3 linked regions of the Struthio camelus genome follow. The protein of the gene in region 2 interacts with the protein of the main gene of each other region in a biochemical or structural test. Links are inferred from orthologs where the notes say so. Each region holds a gene or a part of one and is shown on either strand. Other genes may lie near its edges.

Region 1 (7,387 bases), on a different chromosome or scaffold from region 2:
GCCACAGAGATTTTCCATTGTTTATCATGTTCTCAGATCAGTCAAGCCCACTTTGAACCAGAGCAGAGAACAGCATGAGAGAGTTTGCAAGTATATAGCTCCCACTCACACAGCTCTCAAGCAGCTTCCCAGCCCCTGAGCTGGAACCCTACTCCAAAAAAAAAAAAGCACTCAGCTAGACCCAGCCACTTGCTGCCCTCCCCCTGCCTTTCAGCAGTCACTGCAAACCTGCAAGATGAAGCACAGCACAACTTCCTCAGAGCTGCTCCAGAGCACCACTCAGCCCCAGGGACACGCACAGAGCAGGCAGGACTATGCAGACCCCACCCCACCTGGCCATGCCACTTTGGGCACAGCAGCACCAACTTACATGACACAGCCCAGAGACCACACATCTGACTCAGGCCCATGGCCCTGTCGCAGCAGCACTTCGGGGGCCAGGTAGTTGGGGGTCCCACATATTGTCCTGCAGGGCAAACAGCCAGGTCAGTGTGTACTTTGCAACCAACCTCTCCCTGTCCAAGCCCTCGGTTTTAGCTCACAGCCTGTTCTCCCCTGTCCCATTTTGCTCTTTGGGGTAGAAAGGCTCCATCCATCCACAAGAGCCCCCCACACATACACTCCCTCCCCCCAGCCCCCAGGGGTCAGGAACAGCTGTTCCTGGAGAGCTGTTGGGAAGAGCTTGTCCTCAATACAGCAAGGAACAGAGCCTTTGTGTCCCAGCCCCGCACACCCGGCAGGGCAGCCTGGCAGGCACAATAGCTATAGCAAGCGCATTGTTCTCTCCAACGGCTGTGAGCTCTGTAAGCCCCTCCAGGCCCCTCTCCCTGGCTGCAGCCATGGGCCCCAGGCAGCTGGGGCAGGAATGGCCCCAACCACCACCACAGCCAGGAGGGTGGCTTGCCCCTCTGCTTGGGAGGCTGGCCAGGAGGAAGAGAAAGATGAGCCCTTGGAGGACAGCTCTGGAAGAGGAAACTCAAACTTACTTTTTCTTCTGGTCAGAGATATCACGACAAGCAGCTAGACCAAAGTCCCCCACTTTCAGCTCCATGTTTTCATTGATGAAGAAGTTGCCTACAAGACAAGAGTGACGCATCACCAATCACTGTAGAGCAGTCCAGTGCTCATACTGCTCTTCACCCTGACAGGGACACTCACCAAGCTTGAGGTCCCTGTGTAGGATGCCCTTGAGGTGGAGGTATTTCAAGCCTGAGATGATCTGTTTGAGGTAATAGCGCACTTCTGGCTCCAGCAGAGTATGGCGGGCCTTCCAGATGTGAGCCAGGGACTGCAGAAGGAGAGAAGACAGTTCAGTGACTGCAGCCAGGGAGAACAAGCAGCTGCACCCACTAGGCAAGGGACAGGCAAAAGCTAGTTCTTCCAAAAGTCACACATCCACAGATAATCCTTCTGCCATGGCCATGAACACAAAGGGTTGAGGTCACCACAGGATGCTCAGCACAACCAGTGGATTTATGGGTGGCACCACTAGGTGCTACAAGTTACCAACACAAGCAGATACCCTGAATAGGAGAGGCAATCTAGGGTGTCTCCAATGCAAGCAAACAGCTTGTGGCTGAGCAGAGTTAGCTCAGAGGATGGAACAGAATGGGCAGCAGTGGAAACCAGGAAAAACAGAGTGCTAATGCAGCTCCTCAGATACAGCCCAGCACCAGCCACCTGCGGCTTATTTTAGGGCAACCTTTGGCAGCCAGCACTCACCTTCCTACTGCAGTGCTCCAGGAAGATATAGATGTTTTCTGAGTCCTCAAAGTAATGAGAGAACTTGACAATGTGCTTGTGGTGCAAGTCCCTGTGCAGCTCAATCTCATTGGTGATCTGAAAGGAAGCAGGGGCCACAGGTGAGCGCAGGGCTCTTGCTGCACCCCTACCAGCCAGACACTCCCTGCCAACCCCACACCACTTACCTTCTCCCGCTGGTGGGGTTTAGCCACCCGGCTGTGAGGAATAACCTTCACAGCATAGGTTTTGTTGCTCAAGAGGTCTGTCATTTCATAGCATCGTGCGAACCCCCCCTGCAAAGGAAGATGTGGTTAGGAATTGCTCTAGCCTCAGCCACCACAGGTGCTTATAAGCCTTCTCAATTGTTCCCTTGCAACACAGCCTGGAGAACATCATGAACCTCTCCCTCCTGCTACATTGCCCACTAAGATCTGAACTACAGTGCTTTTGACTAGGGATTTTCTTTATTCAGTTCCTGTAAAGCCTCCAGGGCGTTTTTCCTCCCACCACAGCAAGGCTCTGCATCTTTCCATATGACAGGTCACCTGGAAAGTCCTGCACCCGCCAGGAAAGTAGAACAGGCCGGGAGATTTGAGGCCACCGAAAGCGAGCAGCACAGCGACAGGTTTTTCCTGCCGTGATGTCAGCACGCGGATCTGCACACTCAGCTGCTGAGCCGCCCCGGCCGGGCTGGGGCCGGCCCGCTGCCTCCCACACGCCGCCCCGAGCGCGGGGCCCGGCCGGCCGGGAACGCGGCGCCCGCGCTCCCACGCACGCCCCGAAACTCGCGGGGCGGCGGCCTGCCAACCAGCCCCGTCACTCGCGCCCGCCTCACCGGAGCCCCACGGACCGGGCAGGGGGCCCACCCGGGGTCCCCCCTGCTCCCAGGCAAGGGGGAGCCAAGCGCGGCGGGGGGGGGGGTCACGGCGCTGAGCAGCCGGGCCGCTCGCCCGCCCCCCGGTCCCGGCGGTACCTTGCCCAGGAGGCGGCCCTTGCAGTAGGAGCGGCCCGAGAGAGGGTCGGTGATGATGCGGGTGGTCTCGGCCGCCCGGGGCGGCGGCGCCGGGGCGGGCTCGGGGCGGTCGCGGGGGAGGCGGGCGGCGGGGAAGGGCGGGTAGAGGCCGGTGGGCTCCATGGCGGGGTGGGCCGGGGGCGCCGGGATCCTGTGCCGCCGCTGCCGCCGGACCCGCGCACGTGGCGCCGCCGCCGCCGAGCGCTCCCGCTGGGGCGGCAGGGAATCCCGCCGCCTTTATCAATGGGCGGAGTGACGTCACCACGCCCCGCCCATCCCCGCCGCTGCCGCCGCTCTTAAAGGGGCAGTCGCACCGCGGGGCGGAGGTGCGGGGAGAGAGGGAGGGGGCGCGGGGGCACGGCACGGCACGGCACGGCACGGCACGGCACGGCACGGCACGGCACGGCACGGCAGTCACACCTGCCTTCCCCCCCCTCCCCCAAACCTCACCCCACGTCTTGGGCTGCTCGAGAGGAGCCCGCGGGCTACGCGCAGTCCCCCATCGGAGATAGCCCCCTATAGGCACACAGGCCCCCTACACGTACCCCCCATAGATATACGGACCCAGCCCCAGCTACAGCGAGGCCTCGTGGACGCACAGGTCCCCGCAGACGGACAGACACCCATAGACTTGCCGCCTCCCCAGAAAGAAACGCCCCCCCCCCCGGACACAGGCAACCCCCATAGACACGCACCGCTATAGACACGCAGCGCCCCATGGACCCAGAGACACCCCCCCCCATAGACACAAGGACCCCCCCGCAGACACACGGAGCCCCTCTCCCCATACACACCCATAAAGATAGACGCAGCCCCCCCTCACCCACAGCACACACGCACTCAGCCCCTTCCTCCCACATTGCGTCAGCCCCACGGGCTTGGGCTCCTCACCCCCGGCCCTCCCAGGAGGGAGTCTGCAGCCGCTCGCAGATTTTAGCAGCCAGCCTGCCACCGGGTTCGCAAAAGTGAGTGAAGCCCAGAGTACGGACGCCCTAAGCACCCGCCGTCCGCCCTGAGACGGGCGTCTGGGCAAGGGGGAGATGCTGGCAGGCTCATCGCGGGGTGACGGAGCGAGGCTTCGCCCCGGCTGTAGCACGGCCCAGGGCCCTGCTGGCCCTCAGATAGCCCGGAAAGGTCAGTCCCCAGCACCCCGTGCCCAGAGAGTGCCCGGTGGCCAGCCCAGGACCAGCAGCACCGTCCCAGGCAGCCAGCCACGGGGATACGCATGTGTCCGGGAGAGCCTGGCACCCTGTCCTGGGTGTCCCCCTGCCGAGGCTGCTTCCTGGGGGCTCCGGCGCATGTGTCCGGCTGGCTTGCGCTGGCGTGGGCAAGCAGGACAGACATCCAGGCAGCATGGCATAGCGGTGCTGCTCTCTAATGGCCACGAGCAGGACTGTGCGGCGCAGCCCCTGCGCCCGCGGCCCTGCGGGTCTGGTGTCTGCCGTGGTCCTCCTGCGGGGCAGAGCCAGCCTGGAGGTTCGCTCCCCTCGCCACGACTTACAGCCCACGCAGGGGATGCTCAGCCCAGAGGCTTGGCCATGGTCACAGCGGGATCCTTGTCTCCGTCACCCAAAACAGCCCGTGGTGGGGAGCTGCAGCAGCTCTCCCTCCCCACGGGCACCCAGAGCAGGCAAAAGCAGCCCCACCCCTGTGGCCACCCGCCCTCCCAGAGCACCCCCAGCAGCAGCATTGCCCCTCACAATGCTGTTGTTCTTTCCCTGCTGGGTACCGCTCAAGGGGTGACCACTGCCAGTCCCTCGCTCTGTGCCTCAGTTTCCCCGTGCTGTGCTCCCCCTCTGCTTCCCCGAGGCAGTTTGGGGGGCTCCGTGCACAGGTGCTGGATGTGTTTTTGAACGCGCTGAGGGTTTTGTATGAGTACACCCCTGCCAAATAGCCCGGTGCTTCCCAGCGACTCTCCTTTCAGCCTCGGGGGGGCAGGGAGAACTCAAACCCCTTTCTCACAGCAGCAAAGCGGAGGCCGGGGAGGTGTGAGCTCGGATCCCTGCACCCCTCCGCCACCCCGTCTCTCTGCCTGTCTCTCAGGTTTCCAGCTTTCGTACAGGAAGCACGTGCAAACCTGCTGCCACGGTGGCAAACGCGTGCCGGGAGCAGGCAGGGAGGCCTCTGCCACTTCAGAGAAACCAGCCTGTTTCCACCGGGGCCCCAGGCTCCCCAGGGCACCAGCGACGTCACGGGGCAGCTCTGTTTTTCCGACGGAGGCCCCAGCTCGGAGGCTGCCGGGAGCTCCCCAGCAGAGCTGAGTCAGCATCTGGAGGCAGCGGGGGGGGGGGGGAGGCACCCTGGGGTGCTGGGAGAAGGCTCAGGGGACTCGCCCCAGGGTGGTGGAGCAGAGCGGAGCGGGGCTTGCTCAGATGCTCGGGGGGAGGCACCGCGGGACACAATGGCTGAGAGCTATCCGCTCTGCTCCTGCTCACTGCTGGCCCTCGGGCCAGGCTTGGGGGGTACGGATGGGCCCTGCCTCCTCCCAGGGCTCAGGCACCTCCTCTCCGAGACGGATGGAGCCCTGGGAGCAGCTCCCTCCTCCACCCTCTGCCTCAGACCTGTGAGGAGAGGATGATCCGAGCCAGAGCAAGGTGCTGGGCAGCCTCTTCCTGCTGCTCCTCTTGCCAGAGGCCCAGCACAACTTCTCACACTAGTGGCCAGGTGGACACATGCAGCAGCAGCCCAGCATGCGCAGCTCTCAAGCCATCCTGCCCACATGCACCCTCCTCCCAGCCCTGCCATCGCCTACCCCAGCCTCGCCGGGTCGACTCCCTGGAGGGGCATCGCAGGGAGCCCCAGCACCGGGCTCCTGGGGATGCTCACAGCAGAGCACCCGTCCCACGTGTGTGTTTGCGTGCGCATGTGTCCCTGTGTGCAACCCCAGGGGGACCGACCGGCCGGCCCTGCTTGGCACGCTGGGGGCAGTCAGCTTTTTAGGGCAAGCCAGTCCCCAAGCGAGAGCATCACATCCGCCTCCTCGGGCCATGCCCGCCGCCTCCCTGCCCACTTCCCTCCCTGGGGGCAGCGCTCAGCCAGCACTGCTACCTGCATGCTGGTCAGGGACCGGCCTTCTGCGAGAACAGCCGGGAAAAGTGAGAGCATTTGATCCTGGGAGCAAAGCGATGGAGGCATGGGAGAGGAGTGAGTGGGTCAGGTGGCCAGGAATAAGACAGGCAACAGACAGCTTGCCTGAGATTTTTGAGGAGACGCTGGTCCTGGAGCTACCTGACTGCTGGGATCCTGAGGCTGGGACTAACTAGGACTCCTGAACCAGGGACGGACTTGAACACTGTGAACTCAGCTGTGGCCCTGCTGTTCCCAGGGGCCACGTGGACAGGTTGGGGCACATTCCTCCCTTTAATGAGCTTGTTCCCCCTAAATCAGCTGCAGGCTCACTGCTGTCAGCTACAGAGGGTGGCATCTTGCTGGGCTCAGTCCATGAAGACATCTTGTCCTCCAAGGCACCCGATGTGCAATGGCAGGAGATCCCACGTTTCACCCTATTCTCCCTGACCCCACAGTGCCAGGACTTATGGCCTGTGTGACTCCAAATTGCCCGTGGCTAGCTGGGGCCAGCAATGGTCCCACTGCGAGCGGGGGTGCCGCAGGAGAGCCCCCACCAGCCCCAATCATGTTCCAGCACCCACTGTAGCCAAAAGTGCTCATTCAGACAGGAGTTTTCCCATGCATCAGCTTGAGGGGGTGGTGAGGACCGTGTGGTTTAGTGTCAGCAGTCTGCTCTGTCTGGAGGAGAGAAGGCTTTGGGGTGATCTTACTGCTTGTCTGCAACTGTTTGAAGGGAGTTACAGGGAAAATGAAGCCAGACTTTTCAGGGACATGCACAGTGAAAGCATGAGAGGCAACGGGCACAAGTTGCATCAAGGGAAATTCCAGCTAGATGACAGGAAACTTTTTTTTCCATATGAGCGTGGTAAAACACTGGAACAGAGGCCTAGCGAGGGTGTGGGATCTCTATCCTTCACGGTATTCAGAACTTGCCTGGATGAAGCCTGAGTGACCTGATCTAAGACTGAAGATGGATCTAATGTCAAGGCTGGCTCTGCTGTGAGTGGGGCTGGACCAGTGACCCCAGAGGTCCCCCCAGCACACACACATTATTCGGTGCTGCTCAGCTCCAGCAGATGCTGCAGGTCCATGAAGCCTGGGAAGGTCATGTCCACGAGGCCCTCTCAGACAGAGGACAGAGCTGCCCGTGCAGCTCCTCATGCCTGGGGCTGGACCGTGCACCCGTGCGCGGGCTGGCTGTGCTGCGCCGGGTGTGCTGCCAGCTTCCCGCTCTGCCGGCTCAGCATTTCCGCTCCCTCCCTGCAGCAAGGCCTCCTCCGCGGGCACCCAGAGCACTCGGGGAAACGGCAGCCAGAGGGAGACTGTGACCCTGCAAGCTGCCCCCCAGTGCTCCTCCCCATGCCTGGGCTCCCGGCCGCCCCAGCTCCTTCCTCCTTCCCTGGGACGAGCCACGGTGCTCCTCGGAGCTGGGAAGGCCATGGGGCTGAGATGCCTTTGCATCCCCTCGCTTCTGAGCCGTTGCCCTGCCGAGGCCAGGAGCCAAGAGCGCTCCTTGGATCCCTGGCCCCGGGTGAGCCCCGCAGTGCCGGCAGCCGGCGGGCA
Region 2 (7,746 bases):
GCATTTGGGGGGAACGGGGAGACTTGCTGCCAGATGAGAGTATTTTAAGAAGGTTCCTAATTGCTGATGATACTGTGCTTTGCTCTTAGGGCTGCTCGGCAGCCAGGAGTTCACCCTCAAACACCAAACAAATACAAGAAATATAGTCGTCGCTCTTGGGACATGCAGATCAAGCTGTGGAGACGAGCTCTGCATGCCTGGGATCCCCCTAGCAAGTATCCTGCTCAAGATGAACAAAGACTTCTGGAAGACGCTTCCATCTGTTGCCCTAGGTGCCTACTCAGTTGTATGTAAGAACGATGCTCTTTGAGGGAAGGAGAAAGGGAGAAGTCCAGTCATGCTAACATTAGACCTGTTCAAACTCGTGGATCCTCCTCTGTGCTCTCACTTGCCAGTGTCCGTCACACTTCCATTCTCTGGCAGCTCAAGCTTATTAAAGGGAATAGGCTTAGTGTGCATAGCAGGCATTTCGTGAGATTTTGCACTCTGTGGCATGTGAGGTCTCTTTAGAGGAGAGACTAAGACACTCTTGATGCCTGCCAGCTCTTGTGGCCATTGCTTCCCTGTCTGCAGCGTTAACACCCCCTCTGCAATCCTTCCAGCTGCTTTCTGAGACTGAAGGACTAGGTGCAGAGTACCCTGTGCTTGCACAGTTGCCCATCTCTGTCCCATCAGTACTGCAAGAGCTGGAGTGTGATACCCTCTGGGACATGCAAATCTAGGCTGTGGGCTTAGGTCTGTTATCGTAGTGCTCACCGAGCAGCATTCTGCTGTGGTGTAGAGGGAGGGGTCCTGGCCAATTACCGCGTTTCAGAGAAACAGTCCTGCCTAGCGATGTGTTTAATGCATCAGGTAACTTGATGGTGTTTCTTTGCTGGACTGGTGAATGAGACAGCTGTTTGTTTGAAAGGCAGGGGCTGGCCACTCTCTTGGGAGCCACAGCAGCGTGCTCTGGTGACTTGCAGTCCGAAGAAGCCCTTTCAGGAGGTGCAGTGGAGGGACAGGTACGCGCGAGCGGCGGGCATGGGTGCAGGACCACCATGGCCCGACACCCTCACCGGCTGCTCTGTACCCCGGCCCCGCAGCTCGAGCCAGCGCCTCTGGGACCCGCGTGGCCGTGGCTCCCCCAGGATGACCCTGCTGCCTGGCTGCGCCGCCCGGGAGAGGTGCCCACCTGCCCCTGCTACTGCTGGACAGCACCATAGCAGCTCCACCGGGACAGCAGCCCGGCCGCAGCGGGCCCTGTCCCCTCCTGACCTGCACTGCTGGGACCGGACCGGGCTGGGCCGCCATGCTCGTGCTGGTCACGGAACAGCTGCAGCAGCAGGCGCTGGAGGAGCCACTGCCTGGTGGGCGCCTTGGTCCTTACCCACCAGTCGCTCCTAGACCACCTCGGCGGGGCAGCGCAGTCGTGACTTCGGCCCTGCTTGCCGCTCTCCACCGCTGCGGCTGGGTCTCCCCCGCGGCCCGCCCCACCAGACCCCTGTGCTGCCGGGGCTCCTGGGCGGCTGGGCCCGGCAGCACAGGCGGATCACGCTCCTCTGGCCTTGCCCAGCCCGTCTTTGTTCGCCCTCCTCCTCTGCCTCCCACTCGGAGTCCCTTTCCATCCTGGGATCCCAATCAGGAATCAAGTGGCCACTGCCAATCAGGAAGTAAACACGCACTGTTTTATGTGCTCCTTTGTGGCTGGCATCTGCCGCGCTTCGGTTTCGTGTCTTCACTCACACCTAAACAGCAAAGTTCTTTCTGCTCAGTTTCTCTTTGAGAAACAAGGACAGTGAAGGAGGTGATCACCTCTCTTCCTTTACATCCAAACTCCAACTGAAGTATCTTAATGCTCTGCTAAGGGAAAAGTGAGTAAGTTTTGGATATCCAGAATACAGGCTGGGCTGAGGAAGATTTGTCAGTCTTTGTGTGCCCACCTGCTCTGTCCTGTCCCCTGAGTCTTCCTCCATTTGCATAATGTTTTTTGCCACCTCACCTCTCCCCCAATGTTTGCATCCTTCCTCACTTGGTCAAAGAAAAATCTGAGTGAAGATTACACACTCTGAGACCCCTTCCTCACTTAGTCAAAGAAAAATCTGAGTAAAGATTACACACTCTGAGACCCCTGCCCAGAAATAAGCAGCTCCAGCTCTTCATGGCCATCAGGTAACAATAGAAATGGAGACTGCACAGCAGCTGGGGAGTAGTGGGTGAGCTAGAAAATTAGCTGCCTTCTGGTATTGTACAGCTCCCTTGCCTGTGGGACATGAGCGATTGTGGTGTCAGTCAGCACACATGTGGGATCAAACCCTCCTCCAGGAAAGGCAGTGAACATCCCTCACCCAGTGGAGAGGTAAAAGTAGGACCTTACCTCTAAGGGGTTGTTGCTACATGGGATGTAGAAATGCTGGGTGAATATTGTGGTGCTGATCCCCTCACGGGACCACAGGACATGCATGGGGAATATGGCTGAAAAGGTGGCAAGGCAGAAGTAGAGATGTTTTGACTGGCTTCCTGTTTGTCTCATGCAGAGAGAGCTTCCTAGGAGGTCCTGACCCCATATCCTAGGATCAGCCTTCCAGGCAACGCAGGCTTTGGCAGCCACCCTTCCTGACAGGCTCCCTGCAGCCAAGGCACCTGTCTGAACGCCAAACTGCATCTCGGACATCTACTGAGGACTCTACTTTGGAAAAGACTTCAGTTCTCCCTCCCAAGAGGCGCTGCCATTTGCTCACTGTTTCTGAGGACTTCCTGAGGAATTGCACTGGCAGAGCTGAGCCAGGCCCAGGAAGCCTGTGTTTGCAGTTTCAGCCAAGCCTCTGCTGTCTCTCCTGTGCGCACAAGACAGTAATGGACAGAGCCCCCCCGCTTCTTCAGCCTGGGTCTAACCTGGGACTCTTCATCAGCAAGTTCCTGGAAACCGGAGACACCTCGGAGCCTTACAGACTGCAGTGCTGCTTCCCACTGTCCCCTGCTGGATGCGGGCCCTGCCAAGAGCTGGAGTGCCTCCCCGCCTGCGCGGCGGGGGTACCAGCGCAGCCGCTCACAGCCTGCCGAGGCGCTGCGGGAGCGGTGGCCCGGAGCAGCACCCAACCGCCGCTCAGCTGCTGCAGATGGCCCAGGTGAGCGGGGCGGGGCGAACAGGGCGGGAGCGGCGGGAAGGGCCGCGCCCCTCCGCTCCCTCTCCGGCCATCGCCTGCCGTCCCTCCTCCTCCTAGCGGCAGGGCTGGGAGGCGCCTCCCTCCCCGCCAGCCCCGGCGCCAGGAGGGGCGGCGGCGGCGGCGGCGGCGGGGCCGGGGGCCGGAAGCGGAAGCGAGCGGCACTCTGTGCTGCGGCGCCTCTATGGCTGTCGGGGCGCGGCGCGGCGCTGCCCGGGCCTCGGCCCGGCCCTTCCGCTTCCTGCGGGAGCCGGAGCGGGGCGCGGGCGGCGGCGGGTGACGGCGAGTGCCTTCGCAGCGCCGCGGGGCTGCGCGGCCCGGCCCGGCCCGGCCCATGGACCGGCACAAAGTGAAGCGGCAGCGGCTGGACCGGATTTGCGAAGGTGAGGCGGGGCCCGGCCCGACCCGGCCCGGCGGCCGCTGCCCGGCGCTGGGCCTCCCCGCGGCCCGCGCCGGGAAGGCGGCGGGGCTTGGCGGGCCGCCTCGGGAGGGAGCCGGCGTCTGCGCGGGGGCGGCGGGGCCCGCCGGCCCGGGGGCTCGGCCCTGCGGCAGCTTTGCCGGGACTTCGGAAGCCTGGAGTGAGATGGCATGCTCGTCGGGAGACCTTCTCTGCTCTCTCGTTATTGATAGAGCGCGTTTTCCTTTATCTATTAAAGTACTAACAGCAGAGTACTTTTTTTCCTGGCTTCTTTTTCCTGCGTTTGCTTGCTGTTTATTTCTTTTGTTTTGACTAATCCCTGCCTAAATGCTGCAGAAGTTTAAAATAACTAGTGATCCGTTGGACCGCTGTAAACACATGTATATACTAATGCAAATGATGGCTTCAGGATTCCTGTCTTTCATGTAGTCACTCATGCCCACTTTTTTTCAATAGGCATACGACCGCCTATTGTGAATGGTCCAATGCCAGCTCGTCCTCTGGTTGCGCTCCTGGATGGAAGAGATTGCACTGTGGAGATGCCCATCTTGAAGGATGTTGCTACAGTGGCATTCTGTGATGCTCAGTCAACTCAGGAAATCCATGAAAAGGTGGGAATGAAAACATGCAAGCATTTGGGCATGGAGCTAGCTAACTATGAGAGTTATCTCAGAGAGTTAGCAAAGAGAGATGAATTGATTGAGATTGTTTTTTATTTGTAGGTGCTGAATGAGGCAGTAGGCGCTCTGATGTATCACACCATTACCCTGTCTCGTCAGGATCTAGAGAAATTCAAAGCCCTCAGGGTCATTGTACGCATTGGCAGTGGCTATGACAACGTTGACATCAAATCAGCTGCAGAGTTAGGTATGACAACACCATCGGGGCTCTGTTGCAACTATAACTGAATGTGAAGAGGAACGCCACACGTTTTTCTGCTTTTTAACTGAGTATGTTTAAAACCTTTAAGTAGAAAGACTTGGAGCTGCTTAGTATGAGGCATTTTTAGGAAAAAGATAAACGTCTGAGCTGGTAGGTGGCTCGAAAGGAAGTTTTTGTGTTTTCAGAATACTCTGCTATAGATGTCACAGAGCCTTTGCTATTGTCTGGGATTCAGAAACCTATATACAATGTCTAGATAATTTCTCATTGGTGAGGTAATTTAGGGTTGCTTTTGGGAAAAGCACTGAGCAAACTGTGATGTCTAAAAGGCTGCAAATGTTGATGTAGGGTAAACCCACTGTAAATGCTCAATTATTGAGTTTTTGTGTTAGTTTTTATATGCAGGTAAGTTTTGATTCAACACCTTATTATACATCCCTTTACAAGTCTGGAGTTCAGGTATGCGGAGAGTCTCTGGGTCAGATGACAAAAAGCTGCTGTTTATTAAACACATGGCAGTGAGGCATTTGGACCTTGTAGGCTCCTTGGGAAGGCCCATCATTTGAATGCCCTGTGCTTTCTTTTTTAGGGTTATGTCTGTGGTTTGACACCTTTCTTAATGCAAAATAGGTTTAAGCTTAAACCAAATGCAAGCATATATTTATAAAATTCAAACAGGCAACATAATTTCAAGATCTGTAAGAAGAGGGAAATTGCAAATAAATGAAGAACACACATCTTTGTAGCACCTGAATTAGGTGTAAAGAGTCTTTTCATCTGAATGCTTCAGTTGAATATTCTCAAGAGTTCCTGGCAAGGTCTTTGGCTTTCATCCAGCCATTACATTTTGGGGTTGAGTTCATGGAAGCCAGCCCATACCTAGGGGTTCTCTATTTTTTTATAGTCACGATTCATATTTTCAACTCATTCATATTCAAAGCTTTCCCTTTTCTTGCCCTCCGCAATCATTAACAACAGATCAGAGTTCTTTTGCCATCAAACTGCTGCTTTCACTTTGGAGGGACAGTCTGGTGTCCCTTAGGCATGGCCATTCTTGTCTCCTCATGGATGGGTAACGATTGTTTCCAGGCTTAGCCAGGCCCTTTAATTCATTTTGAGGCATGATACTATTCTTTGAGTTCTGAATATTCAAATCAGACTGAAGGGTTGTGGTGTCCCTTTGGGTTTTCCATATTTATACATCGTGTTTCATGTGAATGTTTGTATCTTAGTTATGTAACAGATGAAAGTACGTAGCTTTTTTGAAGTCAAATGAGATGGTAACCAGTGAACGAGATTAAAAGAAGTTAGGTTTCCCTATCTGCCTTCTTCATCTCCTCTGTGTCTTCTGTGTGGCATTATGGCACGATTGCAAAAGGACTGGATAGAGAAAAGAGGTCTGATATCTGGGATTGTGTATGGGCATTGCTTTCCTCATTCCCTTGGGAGAGTGTGGTCTGAGTTTATTTGAATGTCTGCTCTGTCACAGGCTTTCAAGAGGGTGATGTGTTGTGGAATTGTACGTGCCTTCACCCATCACCCAGATTTCATTCCTAGTTTTCAGGTAGCTGGTGGACTTGCCTTGGTTTGGCAAGTGTCTAGGGTTACACCTGGGAAGAGGCCCATTTTTGACCTAACTATCTTGTTTTTATTTCTTGCCTACCAAAAGTTTTGTCAGCTGAAACACTCTCTTCTAAGATGTGCCCATTCAGGAGTAGAGGTTCCTTGAATAAAGGATAGTAGCAGTGAAGTGATGTTATCAGCCTGTTATTCTGGTAGACTGCTCAGGAATGACCAGGTTTTGCTATAGCGCTCTGACATCTTTCTATTTGCTGTCAGTAATGTGTGCTTTCAGGACCTTAACTCCGGCATTAGTAACTTACCTGATGGTCCTAGCCATGGCTTTTATGGTCCCTTGTGGCTGTATGTTGATTCTGGAGTGGGAGCATTATATGTTGCTATTTTTAAATGTAATTTCAAATGGATTTTGAGAGGCTCCTATGGCTTCTGTCTGCGTTTAATGAGTTACTTACTGTCGCTCCTGGGGAAGCTGAAGCTTGCAAACGGGCATCTGGAGTGTGAGGCATGAAAGAGCTCAACCATCTGTCTCCTTAATTCTTCTACAATCTGTCAGTTAATCTGTCAGGAATACCTCTGGTGTAAGTGCATCTTTTGGATGCAGACCTTCTAAAATAGTTTCTTTTGTCACTTGTATGACCCAGTTTTCTCATTTCAACCTGTTTCTCTGCTGGTGGTGACAATCTAATGGATTTATAAGCAAGGAATGGTATTTTCTGGAGGTTAAAATGGTGGCTGGTCCCATCCATGTTGCTATAGGATCAGATCCTGAAACGTATCCTGTGTGTTTTCTTGGCAGTCGTTCTGAAACACAGAATTATCTTCTAGCCCTTGTGCCTGAAGAGACGTATGTTGGTTTAGTGTTGTGATGCTAAACATCTCATTTGAACTCTATGGCTTTGTAGGCATTGCAGTTTGCAACATCCCTTCCTCCTCAGTGGAGGAGACTGCTGACTCCACCCTCTGTCACATCTTGAACCTCTATCGCCGTGTTACTTGGCTACATCAGGCTATGCGGGAAGGGAATCGAGCCTCAAGCGTAGAACAGATTCGAGAAGTGGCTGGAGGCGCTGTGCGTATCCGTGGGGAGACTTTGGGCATCATTGGACTTGGTAAGTGATGGGGATTGTTAGACTAAAAAGTGAACTGTGAATGTTTTGGGGAACTTAGGATAATTTTACAGCTGTTCATTGTGAAACACACTAACTCATATGGAATGCTAGTGCCCTATTCTGTGATGCGGAACATCTTCAAGAGTTGGGTATATGTCACGGGATTGGGGCTTTTCTTCCTTATTCAGATGGTTAGAAAAATTGGAACATTCAGACAGCTCTTCTTAGTGACTGTTTTCCTGTGTGATAGGCTCTATACCATTAACCAAGCCACCTGAAAACTACCAATTCCTTCCTCAGGCTCCTGTAATCAGGTTATTACTATCTTACCACCTCAAGGTACAGATTTGGCTTGAAAAACGCCTCCTTTTAGGCTAAGTGCAGGTTATTGCATGGGGAAGGACTAGAGTTAGCAGCATGGGATCAGCACTGAATAACCTCCTCTGGATCCCTGTGGCAATCCTAGGGGTTTCCAGGGCTGCAGTATCTTGGGCCCTGGCAATAAGCTCAGTCTAGGCTCCCAGTCTCCCCCAGTATCTTGTCTTTAAAGTTTGTTTTACCTTTCCTTGATGATTGTGGGTTTTCTTTTGTGAAGGCCGAGTTGGACAGGCAG
Region 3 (7,565 bases), on a different chromosome or scaffold from region 2:
TAGCTCCAGTGGACAATGAGGCAGCTATAACAATTACATTAGGTGATTCTCTACTTGCCTCTACCAGCTGATGCGCCCAGCCTTTAAAGTGAGGTAAGGGGAATATAAATACCTCAGTCAGTTCTGCATTTGCAACCTTTCTTGCAGAATGAAAACTCAAAAAAACACGCTTTTGAATAAATCAAAAAATATTCCTTATGTCTCCCACACATTGTACTCAATTCCACCATTTTTGCTCTGATCACAAATGCTGTTAAATTTATGGTCGACTGTGTACGTTCAGTGTAGTGTTACAGTGAATAGACGTGACATTTTCCAAAGGAAAAAAAAATCTAAATTCTTCACGATAACAGTGTTGTTTTGTATTGCATTCTTTTGTTTTCAGTGCGCAGCGATAGCCAAGAAAGTGACATAAAAACGGCACCTTAACTAGCATATCTGTTTCCTGTGTGTCTTTGAGTCATATTCTCCAATTTTACTAATAAAAAGTTTTTATAACTGTTAGCATTATAGAACAGTTAGCTCAAAACGTAAGCTGCAGCCTATTCTAGAGGGCATACAAACGTTGTCATCTAAGTCCCACCTACAAAATCTCTGTCACTATCGCTAGTGATAACACAAGAAGCAGAAACCAGAATTTGGCTGAGATCTCTGAGTTTTCAGAGCCTTTAGATAGGAAAAATCACCTTCTGATTTGTGAACTCAACTTGAGCAGTGCCTGATAACACGGAGAATATTTATAGAGAGCAACGAAATAGGAAAGTCACGCAATCTTTTTTTGACTATGGCAGCATTTTTACAAAGAAAGTGAATACACTTTGAAATCAACTCGTCTGCTTAAACATGAGAAACAGACCATACAGCAACAATGAGACATAAAAGAAAGTAGCTACTATGCAATTTGTCATTCCTTGTGCAAGCTCCTGCTATGTGGAAAAAAACAACACTAATCAATGCTGCTGTTTATTGGCAATAGAGCAGCAAAATCAGCCGTTATCTTTGGGGTCTCAAGTTCTTTCTTCAAAATCACTTTGCCAATCAGAAGTAAAATCCTGAGAGAAACAAAGATTCCTTTCCCACTACTCCCCCTTCCTCTTTCCCCCCTGCCCCTTTTTATTTGGGCTGTGAATGTTAAATGTGGGCTTTATTGAAGTAAACAGCAGAACGCCTATTGCATCAACAGGTCTAGGACTTTCACCTAACTATCTATAATTGCATAGTTTAAATTTTATCTGAGTGGAAGGGTGATATTAGTATAGATTAATAACATTACGCCGAGCTTATTTTAGTACCACTTGGTGTCTCAGCACAGACACAGACCTCAATTCTGCCGGCACTCAGGACAAGTAAACTCACACTCGCAGCAACGCTACTGAACTTGGCGTGCTGCTGAAAACTGCTGCCAGCCTTAAGCACTTGCAGTTCAGTATTCGGATGTTAGCTGGAGTCGCACAAACGCAGGAGGAGAGCGTTAGTCAGGTTAACAACCCAAGTAAACCTCCAAGTCTATTTTTACCCTTTTCCTGACTCTGTCATAAGTCAATTATCATTTTTCATAAACGTACTGTAAAGAACATATTCTACTGGCAACTGAAAAGAAAAAAAGGCGAAGAAGCAGCAAAAGCAGAGAGTCAGATCTGGATACTTTTCCTGGCTTTCCTTCAGGCTTCGTGACCGACCTTGGCAAACCAGAGAGAGGCAACTCCCACCCCGTTCTCAGTGCAAAGGGTCCTTGCCTGCTGCTGAAGGAGAGCGGCTGCACCAGGGACACCCAGAATCTGAGCACACATGCACACGGATGCGTGGAGACGTAGGCAAACACGACTGCCTGCACAAGAGAGAAGCGTTCCTCAAGCCCCAAATCCCTGTAGTTGATACAGGGCAAGGAGTCAGCTTAACTTGAGAGCAAGGCGGGAAGATGTCTCTCTCTCTCTGCAGGTCCGTTGGGTTTTCTCCTTCTGCGGGTCAGGTGTCACGGAGAATTTTGTAGCCCTGATGATGAAGGAACAGACAAGCAACTCATTTATCGGGCAGTGTTCAAAGGCTACTTCTCCTTGCCTGTGTCTCTAAAAGCAAGGAAACTATTACCTACACAACAGGATGGATTTCAAGGCTAAGCTAGTAAATATTTGTAAGAGACAAAGTTTGTCAGATAAGCTACGCTTTAGAAAGGCGAAATGTTATCGCTGTGGTGCCAGATCTCCAGAGATGCCAAGTTGCTACAAATCTCACCAAAACTAGCATTTGTTCTACGGAGGCTCACATTTTCTTCCCCCCCCCCGCCCCGGCCCCCAAAAAAACCACCACCAAAACTCCCAGAAACGGACGTTTGTCTCTAAACCATCTGTACATTGAGTATGTGCAAGTTACTTTTCTTTGTAGTCTTTAATTCCTCATTAGTTCTGCTCGTGAGCGCATCAAGGCCTCGCACACTCGAAAACGGCCGCGCGCGCTAAGTAACCGCCGGCCCCAGGGCGCACGAAGGCTGCGCTCCGACTGCACCGACTTTCGCCCTCCTGCAGCCAACGAGCCAGGCGCGAGGCGGGCAGTAAAACCCTCGGAGCCGCAGCCCGACGGCGCTCCGCTTAGCTCTGCGAGGGGCTCGGTGAGCCCCCCTCGTCCCCCTTTGGGCTAGCCAGGACCAACACAACTTTTGGCAGAGCGAGGCTGTTAAGGCCCGAGTCTTGCCGGCGGCCACGGGCGCCGCTCGCTCCCAACACTGGCCAAGCAGCGACCAAGTTCACGCGGATTTCAACGCTCCCGCGAGCGGGCAGCCGGATCCGTCTCCGCATCCTGCCTACAGAGCAGCGGTTTCCAGCACTTTCAGCGGGTTTCCACGATCCCCGCCCTGCCCCCGGCGGCGCTCCGGGCCCCCCCGCCCCGCGGCGGCGGCCCGAGGCCCCGGGCGGGAGGGGGCGGCGGACGCTGCGGCCGCAGCACCGGGCCAAGTGCGGGCACCAACGGCCCGGCCCCGGGCTAGAGGGCTGCAGGGCCGCCGGCGCCGGCCCCCCGGCGGCGCTGGGGCGGGGGGGAGGCGGCGGGGCGGGCCCTTCCGGTTCATGTCGGAGCTGGGGCTCGGCGCGGAGGAAGCCGGGCGGCCATCTTGGCTGGTCCGGGAGCGGCAGCGGGGCGGGGTGGGGGGGCAGGAAGGCGAGCGTAGCGCAGGCGGGCGGGCACCCACCCAGTCAGTCACCCACCCACCTCCCTCCCCCCCGCAGCCCGGCCTGCGGCCCGGGGCACGCCGGCCTTCTCGGAGCCTGGGGCGGGCGGGCTGCGGCGGGAGAGAGGCGGAGCAGGATGCGAGCGGAGGCCCGGTGAAGCGGGGCTGCAGGGGCGAGGAGAGGCGAGCCCCCGCGGCGGGCGGGCCGGCCTGAGTGCGCTGTAGCCGCCGTGCCCCGGCGGCGGCGGAGCAGAGGGGCCGCCGCCGCCGCCCTGCCCGGCTGCCCCGCGCTCCGCCGCCGCGCTCGATGCGGAGCCCGGCCGCCCGCCGCCGCCCGGCGCTGAGCCCTCCGCCCGCCCTGCTGCGGCCCTAGGATGAGCCCGGCGGGCGCCCAGGGGCAGACGCCGCTGCTTTCCCGCGGGGGGATCTAGCCGGGGCGTGGGGTGCCGCGGAGGAGGAGGAGGAGGGGGGGGGACAGCGAGGCGACGCCGCCCCCCGCCGCCCCCGTCCTTCATGGTGGCGCTCTGCGACCACCATCGCGGAGCAGCAGCGCAGCCCGTCCTCGCGGGGGGGCCGCGGCCGCGCCGGGGCTTTTGTGCGTGCGCGCGCGTGTGTGTGTGTGTGGGGCTGTGGCGAGCCGCGCCGCGCTGCCGCCCGCCTGAAGTAAAATGTCCACTCGGACTCCATTGCCCACGGTGAACGAGCGCGACACGGAAAATGTAAGTCCCGCGGCGGGGGAGGGGGGGGAAGGGAGGGGAGGGAGCCTCCCCCGGGGCCGGGAAGTGGGGGGGGGGGGTGTAGAGAGGACCGACCCCCGCCCCAGGCCGCCGCGGGGGTCTCCCGGCCCGGGGAGGGAGGAGGAGGAGGCGGAGGGGGGGTTGAACTGTGGCGGCCCGCTCCGCCGCATCCCTGCCCGGGCAGTGCCCGCTGCGGCCTTTCCCTCAGGTGTCTCTGGGTCGCGCGGTTTTGGGAGGGGGTGGTGACAGGGCACAGGAAGGCTCCGCGGGCGGCGGCGGAGACCAGGAGGCCCCATGCGATGCTGTGGCCCCCTCACAGACGGCCTGGCCGCCGGCCGGCAGCGGCCGGAGAAGCTGCTAGTCAGCAGACTGCAGGCAGTAACTCCGCTGTGGTAGGGGTGGGCTCGGTGACCTAGATAATAGGGCCTTTTCCGTGTTTTAATTTTCATGGTTCTACCCGATAATGACGCTGTTCTGCCGGTCACCTGTTCGGATGGCGTTAAAAGGTCCTCTTTCCGAAATTACCTTCTCGGCTAGAGAGCCTGTTCCTGCTTTCATTTCATTTCTTGTTTCCCTTCGGCAGACAGGGCTTAGCGATATAAATGCCTTGTTTAAAACATGCCATTTCATTCACAAGCTTAAGTCAAACGCTGTATTAACAATCATACAGGTCGCGTGCTAAAGGGGAGGGAAAAAAAAAAAAAAAAAAACAGAGTACTGCCACATGAGCAGATAGCCAAAAACGAAGCTCAGTGGGAGAGTCCCTTTCTGCAGATAGGAACTATAATTCTTGTAAGTTAAAAATTACTTGATCCCACTGTGTTCTCCCGTCTGACCATTATTCTGTTTATCCTCTGGGCAAAATGTAAGCAGCTGTGCAGAAGGGAGGTGTCACCCAGGATAGGTCTAAAAGGAGTTGATTAGTAAACTTTGTATTTACCTCCTTACAAAGGCTACCTGATGTTCTTTATAAGTCAGATGTCAAGCTTGATAGAAGAGGATTTTTTTTTGGAGGGTGCTTATCTTCTGGATTGGCATGAAAAGTGGAAGCTTTGGTTAAAGATCAGGAAAAACCGCTGGATTGTTCAGCACAAGAAAAGTGATGGTAGCCCCATTGTTTAAAACAAGACCAGACAAAGCATTAGAAAACATGCTGCATGGAACAATTGCTGCATTACCAGGGATTTGGATTTTATTGGCATAATAGGCACTTCTAACTTCTGTGATCTGTATTTGTTTTAGCACTTGATGCAACCTGCAGGCTAAGGGCTATATTAAGCAAAAAGCCAACTAAGCATATTTGGTTGTAAAATCTCAATGAGCTTCCTGCCTTGTGGGAGAAAATAATTAAAATATTGTGTGGCCCTTTCTATGCCATGGGGAGAGGTGAAGTTGTCGGGTACTCTACAAAGTACTTGACAAAGTTTATTCAGATAATTACTCTAGTCTGTGAGCAAACCTGACTGAGGTTTTCAAGCTCCACTCACGTGTATCAAGGCCGCCCAGTAAATCACTTTAGAAAACTGTTCATATCAGGTTCCTAACATAATTAATTCAAACTCCACTGTAGATAACTTAATGGTGGAAAGACTTGGTAAGTGCTTGAGGAAATAAATTATTCACAAGCTGTGTGTTCTAGCACTTGAAGTTAGATTTTACATGTCTTCCACTTAAGTCACCTCATTCTCACTTCAGAATATTGGACTAACACTTCTCTTTAGTGATCTTTGTGACTTAACGTACAGGGGTTGTCTTGCTTGCAGATGAATTGCCTTAGGTTTTGATTAAGGCAGATCTCTTAAACGCTGTAATTGGGGCTGGTGACCACAGAAATACCTGTAGGTAGTGGTATGGGTGGTTACTCAGATTAATCCCTCCCTGTCAAATCCATTGAAACAATACAGTACTACATTCCTCAAAGAGGCTTTCTCTGCTATTCTGACCGTCAGCTGTTAAGAAAGGCACCTAAATGCATGCTGTTAAACATTACGAAAATTAAATTTTAATCTGATATTTAGTTTGTCTGAATTACGCCCGCACCTGTAAATGCATGCAAAATTACCCTCTGGTTCTATTTTTTGCTACAAAATATAGCATTTTTGCTACTTCAACTAACTGTTTTTCCACCCTAAAGCCTGATGTATATTGGCAGGTGAATTGAGCCCTTGATTCTCTTTCACTTCAGTGAGGTTTAATTAGTTAATATTCATGGGACTCTTTGAAGTTCAGGTGGGAAGATGCTTTAGAAGTGCCAAGCAGTCAGACAGCCTTTGGGCCATGGCCCCCCTTATCGTCTTTTCTCTATTTGGAAGATTACCACTGCTGACAAAGGCTTGGCTGGTGCTGAATCTGGTTTAAGTGTGCTGATCATAGTTTATCCTGCCTATACTTGCATTTTTGAAAATGGAGTTAGCCTCCAGAATGATGGTGAACAGAAATTATCATTGTCTATGCTTGCAGGTAACCACGTTCAGCAGTTGGTAATTCTTGTGGAATAGAGGAGGCCTAATTGTCAGTGCTTGCTTGCCTTTTTTTTTTTTTTTTAAGGTAGCGCATACCACTTCTTATTGAGACACTTCAATGCATATATTACTAAAGTGGAAATACATTCACAGTGACTTTCCCCAAAAGCTACTCACAGCTATCAAACCTTTAAAGTTCGAGATTGAAGAATCTGTGGCAACAGGTCATGTTTTTGAGAGGAAAGGCATCCCAGATGATCTGTGATCACAGGAACTTCCTACTCGGACAGTTGGGAACTGACCATTTGCCTGCAAATTTGCTCCTCACCACAAAGGTAGAGTAGCTCCTTGCTGGCAGTGCCTTTTACAGCAGTGGCTGTCAGCTGCTTAGGGGACAGGAGTGAAGGAGAGGGTCAGATCTTTTCTATTTTCTGCAGTATTTTATGTCCTGCGTATGGGAGAAGAAGCAACCGAGGCAGAAGAGACCTCCTTCCCCAAAACGGAGAGAGAAGGTAGACTCAGTAGACGACACTAGTATACCTGTTTTATTAGTGATGGGGAGGAAGAGACAAACTCCCTGGAGGAGGAAAGAGTGTGGAAACACAGCGGAAAAGGAAAATAGGTGGTGGAAAACAAGATATAAGGAGGCACAGAGGAATGTGCATATGGCAGCATGGAAGACAGCCAGTGACAAAGAAACAGCAGCAGAAAGAACAGATTCTGGAGAGCAGGACAAATATATTCAGAAAAAAATTTCCCAAGGAATGACAAGGTGATAGGGAATTGTGGATAGAAACAAGGAAATAAAGGTGGTAAAGATTTTTTTTTTTTTAAGAGCATGAAATAGCAAGAGAAAGAAACATTTCTGAGTGAACAGTTTAATCTAAACCTCAATCTTCATTGCACAGCTGTGTTTCTGGGGAAAAAAAAAGACTAAGGTAACTGTTTTGAATGTGTTTTGTGTTGCAGACCAATCTGAATTCAAAATACAAGTAATTTGAGGAAAAGCGAAACTAAAATATACTCTTATCGCCGTGACTGTGGCTAATGTGAAAAATTTGCTATTGAAAAATGCCAACGTGATGGCAATTGTGCTTGTTCAAGCCTGTACAAAAGGATTCTGTGCAGCAAAACTGTCTCATTTCCTTTTCTATATTTAAAAAGGGTTAGTAAGTTTAGGGTTAGACCCAAAAATTTATTTTCAAG

The links. The genes of interacting proteins can lie anywhere in the genome.
Region 1: of the proteins of CDC25C (region 2) and PLK3, one has a biochemical effect on the other in vitro, tested with the Homo sapiens proteins (2 studies listed by BioGRID, with this or other methods). The link is inferred for Struthio camelus from reciprocal best matches to the Homo sapiens genes CDC25C and PLK3.
Region 3: of the proteins of CDC25C (region 2) and MARK3, one has a biochemical effect on the other in vitro, tested with the Homo sapiens proteins (3 studies listed by BioGRID, with this or other methods). The link is inferred for Struthio camelus from reciprocal best matches to the Homo sapiens genes CDC25C and MARK3.

Annotation. Positions count from the first base shown.
Region 1 is NC_090949.1:26,919,841-26,927,227, reverse strand, and holds the start of PLK3 (serine/threonine-protein kinase PLK3), read right to left. Parts: upstream 3,001-7,387; 5' UTR 2,879-3,000; coding exon 2,717-2,878; intron 2,037-2,716; coding exon 1,929-2,036; intron 1,840-1,928; coding exon 1,723-1,839; intron 1,289-1,722; coding exon 1,159-1,288; intron 1,075-1,158; coding exon 987-1,074; intron 467-986; coding exon 371-466; intron 1-370. UniProt on the Homo sapiens protein: Serine/threonine-protein kinase involved in cell cycle regulation, response to stress and Golgi disassembly. Polo-like kinases act by binding and phosphorylating proteins that are already phosphorylated on a specific motif recognized by the POLO box domains.
Region 2 is NC_090954.1:300,690-308,435, reverse strand, and holds the start of CDC25C (M-phase inducer phosphatase 3), read right to left. Parts: upstream 3,007-7,746; 5' UTR 2,875-3,006; exon of another isoform or gene 2,551-2,874; intron 1-2,550. Other genes in the region: C-terminal-binding protein 2, read left to right, coding at 3,478-3,526, 4,018-4,172, 4,284-4,428, 6,927-7,133, 7,729-7,746. UniProt on the Homo sapiens protein: Functions as a dosage-dependent inducer in mitotic control. Tyrosine protein phosphatase required for progression of the cell cycle. When phosphorylated, highly effective in activating G2 cells into prophase.
Region 3 is NC_090946.1:72,266,350-72,273,914, forward strand, and holds the start of MARK3 (MAP/microtubule affinity-regulating kinase 3), read left to right. Parts: upstream 1-4,565; 5' UTR 4,566-6,586; coding exon 6,587-6,694; intron 6,695-6,796; coding exon 6,797-6,871; intron 6,872-7,565. UniProt on the Homo sapiens protein: Serine/threonine-protein kinase. Involved in the specific phosphorylation of microtubule-associated proteins for MAP2 and MAP4. Phosphorylates the microtubule-associated protein MAPT/TAU. Phosphorylates CDC25C on 'Ser-216'.